2 linked regions of the Macaca mulatta genome follow. The protein of the gene in region 2 purifies or fractionates together with the protein of the main gene of each other region. This does not show direct contact. Links are inferred from orthologs where the notes say so. Each region holds a gene or a part of one and is shown on either strand. Other genes may lie near its edges.

Region 1 (3,811 bases), on a different chromosome or scaffold from region 2:
CCCGTAATCCCAGCTACTTGGGAGGGTGAGGCAGGAGAACTGCTTGAACCTGGGAGGCGGACATTGCAGTGAGCCAAGATTGTCCCGCTGCACTCCAGCCTGGGCAAACAGCAAGACTCCATCTCAAAAAAAATTAAAAAATAAAAAAAATAAAAATTTGTTATTTGTATGTATTTATGTATTTATTGGAGACAAGGTCTCCAATACTGTACTCCAAGGCTGCAGTACAGTAGTGCAATCACGGCTCACTGCAGCCTCAAACTCCTGGGCTCAAGCGATCCTCCTACCTTAGCCTCCCAAGCAGTTGGGACTACAAGCGCACACCACTGCACTCAGCTAATTTTTAATTTTTTTATAGAGTAAGTTCTCACTTTGTTGCCCAGGCTGAAAATTTCTTAATTTTGAAGAAAAGTATTCAAACTACAAACTAACTAACTACAAAGTATTTATAAATCGTGCCGGGCTGGCCGGGCGCGGTGGCTCAAGCCTGTAATCCCAGCACTTTGGGAGGCCGAGACGGGCGGATCACGAGGTCAGGAGATCAAGACCATCCTGGCTAACACGGTGAAACCCCATCTCTACTAAAAAATACAAAAAAAACTAGCTGGGCGAGGTGGCAGGCGCCTGCAGTCCCAGCTACTCGGGAGGCTGAGGCAGGAGAATGGCGTAAACCTGGGAGGCGGAGCTTGCAGTGAGCTGAGATCCGGCCACTGCACTCCAGCCTGGGCGACAGAGCCAGACTCCCTCTCAAAAAAAAAAAAAAAAAAAAATCGTGCCGGGTCTATACTGTAGTCCTACGGCAACCCCAAAGCAGGAGGGAAAATCTCTTTTCCTCCCAGAAGAGAAGGGCAGCAAACGTGGCACAGTGGTAATTCCTATCCTGTGGCACGAAAATAAGCAGGTGGTCCAGAACTGACCACCTCCTGGGGGCTCACCTTTCTTGTCTCAGTTTCTGGGAGAGGCACTGCAGGTACAGGGACGGTGAGCTGCAGGACCGCTCCAGCAGGGACACATCCGCAGTGCACAGGCTCCAGAAGAAGTCAGCTTCTCGGTGAACTGTGCTCAGCCCTCGCTGCTGAGCCTTGAATTCCACATTCTTCATTGCTGGCCCATCCACCTCCAAGAGGCTGCTGTCCTCCAGCTGGCCCTCTGACACTACATAGTTCTGAATAAAAAACACCTTTGGCTTCCCTGCTAGATAAGGGCATGAATCTCCCATGAACATCCTCCTGATGTGATGCAGGGGGAGTCCTGAGTGAGTCTGATCCACACCATACAAGCTCTGCGAGCCTCCTCGGCTCACCAGGACACATACAAAGCTATCGTAGTCTTGGTGCTCAGGCATACAGGCAAATTGGCCAAGAATCTGGGATATACCATTCACACTGAGATGCAAGAATTTCTGGACTTCATAGCCCAGGGAAGTGAAGGTGTCTTGAAGAAGCTCTGGGGAAAACACAAAACAAACATGTAAAACAACACTGGAGTGAGGAGAGCTCAAGAGGACTGGGTAGGAATCCTAGCCATGGTCTAATCTCCATTATGAAAAGCTTCTGCTTTTGTGTCATATTTTGACAGGCTCAAGTCCTGGGCAGTTGGAACAGGAACCATCTGAATCATGAAAGACGTGACTTTAGGTCCCTAAATATGGTCTATACCCTGCTATACCACTGTTCCTGCCTGATGCCAGCCACAGGCACAGACTGAGCCCACTCTAGTCCAATCAAACCAAGGGGAGGACAAAACCTTTCTTTCTTCAACGACCTTCTTACTGAAGTCCAGACCTCACAATCTTTCTCTCTTCTGAGTGGCTCACTCTGGGGGAAGCCCACCACCACATCATGAAAGTACTCAGGCAGTCCCTCAGAGAGACCCACATGAAGAACAGGCTTCCCGCCAACAGCTAGCACCAACTTCCCAGTCATGTGAGTGACCACCTTAGAAGTGGATCCTCCAATCCCAATCAAGCATTCAGATGACCCAGCTGACAACTGACCACAACTTCACTAGACTCTGGGCCAGAACAGCCCAGCTAAGCTGCTCCTACATTCCTCACCCACAGGTGAAGATATAATTAAATTAGTACTGTTGTTTTTGCCACTAAATTTTGGAGTGATTTGTATACATTTTTAGGTAAATAATTCACTAGGTAAGTCTTTTGACCTTTCCTATCAGTAAAAGGAAAAGGCTTCTTACTTTTCTCCTTTGCTTGGCCCACAACTAAGGATTAAACAATGAATCATTGGCTGGGCTCAGTGGCTCACACCTGTAATCCCAGCACTTTGGGAGGCTGAGGCGGGCAGATCACCTGAGGTCAGGAGTTCAAGCCCAGCCTGGCCAAAATGGCGAAACCCCGTCTCTACTAAAAATACAAAAATTAGTCAGGTGTAGTGGCACGCCCCTGTAGTCCTAGCTACTCAGGAGGCTGAGGCAGGAGAATCACTTGAACCCGGGAGGTGGAGGTTGCAGTGAGACAACATTGCAACACTACACTCCAGCCTGGGCAACAGAGTGAGACTCTGTCTCAAAAAAAAAAAGAAAATGAATTATTGTATCATGTAATAATGAAGAGATACAAAGGAAGTGCTGATATTTCTAAGTCTATAATCAATCAGCATCATTAACAAGGAAATAGGAGACATGATTCACAGGTTGCAAATAACCCATTAAACAGTGAGGGCAGCCAGGCCCAGTGGCTCACGCCTGTAATCCTAGCACTTTGGGAGGCCAAGGCGGGCAGATCACCTGAGGTCAGGAGCTCGAGACCAGTCTCGTCAACATGGTGAAACCCTGTCTCTACTAAAAATACAAAAATTAGTCAGGCGTGGGGTGCTCACCTGTAATCCCAGCTACTTGGGAGGCTGAGACAGGAGAATCGCTTGAACCCGGGAGGCAGAGGTTGCAGTGAGCGAACACTGCGCCACTGTACTCCACCCTGGGCGACAGAGCAGGACTCCGTCTCTAATAATAATAATAATAATAATAATGAGGGTAAATGCCTTCACAGGATCTCTGGGCAGCTGTTATCAGGACTGTAATTTTGTACAGCGTTTTTGAAGAGCAATTTGGGAGTATCATTAAATTTTAAATGTGTATGCGCTTTATAAAAAAAGGAAACTGTGTGGTAGAAGAGGCCTGGACGCACTGTCCCCTAGTCATCTCCTCTGAGGGTGCAGGCGAGTTTCAATACCCAGTACTGAATCCAGGCTGAACAAGGAGAGAACCTGGACTAGGACTCCAGTTCCATCACTGCTATTCTATTCCAAAGGACTTACACGTCTCTAATCATAGAGTATTTGTTCCCCCAGGGGGCAGAAGCAAACAGGGAAACACCAGACTCAAAGCTCTTTTGTTTACTTATCTCAAGATTGGTTCACTTCCCTCAAAACCTCTCTTCACTGATAAATGTCCTTCCTTATCAAAGTCCTTGAAAGAAAGCTTCACCTCGTTCTCCCTTCCCATGCTGATATGTGACGCTTGGACAGAACAAATGCTATACTGTGCCTTCCAGCTCTTTCCTTTATTTGTGCTCCCTGGAGGTTCTGGCTGGGGAAGCCCCTGTCACATGACCGTCAGCAGACAGTCGCGTGGTGCAGGGCAAAAGAGGAACCAGCCTTGCAATCACAAGATGTGGGTTTAAGTCCTAGTTCCTCCATCTCCTCTTACTAGGGTCTGAATCTTGCATGGTCTTGGAAGAGGACTGGGCTACAACAGCAGACAAGCTAGGAAGGGAATGGGAATCTGAGGTCTGGGGCAGAAAATCCTTACCTAAAAGAACAGAAGAAAAATAGCTAAAGCTGGAGGTGAAGCC
Region 2 (3,811 bases):
TTGTGGGTGGGCGAGAGGGGGGGTCTGGGAGGTCGAGGGTGCAGTGAGCTGAGATCACACCACTGTACTCCAGCTTGGGCTACAGAGCAAGACCCTGTCTAAATAAATAAATAAATAGGCTGGGCGCAGTGGCTCACACCTGTAATCCCAGTACTTTGGGAGGCTGAGGCAGGTGGATCACAAGGTCAGGAGATCGAGACTAGCCTGGCCAATGTGGTGAAACCCTGTCTCTACTAAAAAAATGCAAAAATTAGCCAGGTGTAGTGGTGCGTGCCTGTAGTCCCAGCTACTCAGGAGGCTGAGGCAGGAGAATCGCTTGAACCCTGGAGGCGGAGGTTGCAGTGAGCCAAGATCGTGCCATTGCACTCCAGCCTGGTCAACAGAATGAGACTATGTCTCAAAAGTAAAACATAACATAAAATAAAATAAAATAAAATAAATAAATAAATGTGTGGCTTATATTTCTTTTGGCAGTGCTGGTTTAAGGTGTGTGAATGCAGAATTGACAAACTGACCAAGCTAGAGATTTCCCTGTTTGGGTTCCACGCATCCCTGAAAAAGCAGTCCCCCAGTCACCACTGCCAGCTGCTGGGAATCCTGTGACATTTCATTCACCAGCTTTTCTCTCCCCTCCCAGGACACCACATCTCCGAAGACAGTAGAGATTGTATCTCCTGCAAATATGGACAGGACTACAGCACTCACTGGAATGACTTCCTTTTCTGCTTGCGCTGCACCAAGTGTGACTCAGGTACAGAACATAAGGACCCCATGCCTCAAGGTGGAACGCAGGGTGATGACATAAAAGTTGTAGCTAAAATGGGATCAGGAGACCTAGATACTGGTCCACCTTGGTCTTCGTCATACTTTGTTCCGTGATTTTGTCTTCGAGTTTTTTAGTAAATAAAACAGGCCAGGCATAGTGGCTCATGCCTGTAATCTCAACACTTTGGGAGGCATCGCTTGAGCCCAGGAGTTTGAAACCATCCTGGGCAAAATGAGAAACCCCATCTCTACAAAAATATAAACATTAGCCAGGCAGGGTGGTGTGTGCCTGTATTCCCAGCTACTTAGGAAGCTGAGGCAGGAGGCTCTCTTGAGCCCAGGAAGTGGAGGTTGCAGGGAGCCGAGATTGCGTCACTGCATTCCAGCCCAGGCAACAGAGCAAAACCCTGTCTTAATAATAATAATAATAATAATACAGAAATTATTTGTACAATGTATGCTACATGGTAAGGAAATCTTTTAGACTATCAGCTGCAAAGGGGTGGGGCTATGAGCCTGGCCGAGTGCACAGGGCTGGGTCTCAGCGGTGGCACGGGTCTGCTTCTGGACCAGGCTCTCTCCCCCGGGCTCTGTGCTCTTGGCAGGTGCTCGGCCTCACTCATCCTTCCAGTTCTCAGGCCTCTCCCTCCTCCCCAGCAGGCCGGGCCTTGGGGAAATCACCCAAGGGCTCCTCTCCTTGCAGTCTCTCAGGTGATGCCTCACACTTCCCTTGCTACTGACCATGTGATCTAAACAATGCTTGTTCCCTAAACGATGCTTTCCCCTAATCTAATGTAATAAATAATGAATTGTGGTCCTTTTGTATGACTCTTGAGTGTTGGCGACAGCTGAAGGGTGGGCGTCCTGTATGAGCCACCAGTGTGCTGGTGCAGAAACTGGCCCTCAGAACTCCTTGGCGAACTGAATTAAGCTGAGTAGGAGGGTCTTGGGGTGGGGAGGAAGGGTCAAGGGACACATCAGGAAAACATATCCCAAAACCTTGTGCTCTGTCGTCAGGTGAAGTGGAGGTGAATTCCTGCACCACGACCAGAAACACGGTGTGTCAGTGCGAAGAAGGCACCTTCCGGGAAGAAGATTCCCCCGAGATTTGCCGGAAGTGCCGCACAGGGTGAGACAGCAGCCGGGGGCTCCCAGCAGCTCCACAGAACCCCAAGAAGACCCAAGCCTCCTTGTACCCCTGTCTATCCTCTGAGAGCACCCCCATGGGGCATCCTTCAGCCTGTGGCTGCCCCTCCTGATCCCTCTGCCTGTCCCCACCCCTGCCCCCTGTAGCAGCCCCTTCCCACCCCTCCCCAGCACGAGTCCCCTTGGCCAGGCTGACTTGTTCACTGACCACAGAAGGCCATGATGTAGGGCCCATGATACTTTTAGGGGCCCATGAAACGATTTAATTTCTTTTGAAATGAGAAGAATGAGTAGAATGCAGCCAGGGATATATTCATCTTTATACCAATTCAGCAATAAAATGTAATTTTTAATATTTTTTATGCAGGCAGGGGTCCATAAAGACAAAAGTGCCCACAGCCCACAAGAGGCATAATAAGGCCGTGGGTGGAGCTCCTTCAAGTTCCCATGAGGACCTGAGCCCACCCAGCTGGCCTCGCCCCTGGCCCCTGATCCCTCAATAAGACCTGTCTTTTCTCTATTTGGGTTTTAGGGGCCAAGGGTAATTTGCTCTTCTCTGGTCCCCGTAGTATTTGCTGTGATTGGGAGGAATGGGCAGACAGGTGGGGACAAGAGCTCACTTTTGTGGTTGACTGGAAGACCAGACTCAGCTTGTGGCCATAGGGGCTTGTGACCTTCCCCTGGAGTGTGGCTCCTCCTAACGCAGCCTCCCCTGCAGCCCAGGGAAGATCCGTGTGTGCCCAGCACGGAAGGCTCCTGGAGCTGCAGCTCTGACCCCAGAGCAGGGAGGCCGAGGGGCCTGAAGTGCGCATGCTCAGACTCTTCCCCAGCCTCAACAAGGGAGCATAGGGGGACCCCCTGCAGACACGAGGAACCTGCCCTTTCCCTGACACCTTCTCAGGGACACTGGGGAGGGAGGGTGGCTCCTCTTTCATCCCACCTGGCCAGCTTTCCATCAAGAGTCCCCCCTCTCCCTCCCTGTGTGTACCCAGGTGCCCCAGAGGGATGGTCAAGGTCAAGGATTGTACGCCCTGGAGTGACATCGAGTGTGTCCACAAAGAATCAGGTACAAAGCACACTGGGGAAGTCCCAGCTGTGGAGAAGACAGTGACTACCAGCCCTGGGACTCCTGCTTCTCCCTGTTCCCTCTCAGGCATCATCATAGGGGTCATAGTTCTCGTCGTAATCGTGGTTGTGGCTGTGATTGTTTGGAAGACTTCACTGTGGAAGAAAGTCCTTCCTTACCTGAAAGGCGTCTGCTCAGGTAGGTGCTGGCTGAGGGCGGAGGCACTGGGCACTCTCTGCCCTGCCCCCCCCACTCTATTCCCACAGACAGAAACGGCTGCCCCTCCCCCAAGTCTTAGTGTCTCCAGCCTGGCTGTATCCTCCTCCTTGTGGTCACCCCCATCCCCACATCCCAGGCACCCCCCAGAACCCTGGTCTCATCACTCCCTCTTCCGGAGCTGGGGGTCCCCTCATCTCCCAGCCAAGTCCAGGAGGGCAGGGCCAGTTCCTCCCACCTTCAGGCCCAGCCAGGCAGGGGGCAGTCGGCTCCTCAACTGGGTGACAAGGGTGAGGATGAGAAGTGGTCGCGGGATTTATTCAGCCTTGGTCAGAGCAGAACACAGAGATTTTCCATGTGTTGGTTTTACTCTAGTTCCCCTTCTCATCCCCCTTCCTCAGGGTGTCTCTGAGTTGTAAGACCCCATTCCTGTCCCCAGGCCCGGGGCTCCTTGTCCAGTGTCCCTGCCCCCAGCCCACCCCTGCGCCCCACTGTCCTCTGGGAGGGAGATGCTGTGTGGGCCCCTCCCCTCCTGCTAAGGAGACTCCTTCTCTTTTAGGTGGTGGCGGGGACCCTGAGCGTGTGGACAGTGTGAGTTGGTTTCTCCAGGAGCTGGGG

Evidence for each region.
Region 1: the proteins of TNFRSF10B (region 2) and CFLAR purify together in Homo sapiens (affinity purification with western blotting, with the first as the bait; 5 studies listed by BioGRID). This does not show direct contact. The link is inferred for Macaca mulatta from reciprocal best matches to the Homo sapiens genes TNFRSF10B and CFLAR.

Annotation. Positions count from the first base shown.
Region 1 is NC_133417.1:106,259,585-106,263,395, reverse strand, and holds part of CFLAR (CASP8 and FADD-like apoptosis regulator), read right to left. Parts: intron 1,447-3,811; coding exon 936-1,446; intron 1-935. UniProt on the Homo sapiens protein: Apoptosis regulator protein which may function as a crucial link between cell survival and cell death pathways in mammalian cells. Acts as an inhibitor of TNFRSF6 mediated apoptosis.
Region 2 is NC_133413.1:24,698,833-24,702,643, reverse strand, and holds part of TNFRSF10B (tumor necrosis factor receptor superfamily member 10B), read left to right. Parts: intron 1-637; coding exon 638-751; intron 752-1,782; coding exon 1,783-1,894; intron 1,895-2,903; coding exon 2,904-3,175; coding exon of another isoform or gene 3,176-3,198; intron 3,199-3,752; coding exon 3,753-3,784; intron 3,785-3,811. UniProt on the Homo sapiens protein: Receptor for the cytotoxic ligand TNFSF10/TRAIL. The adapter molecule FADD recruits caspase-8 to the activated receptor.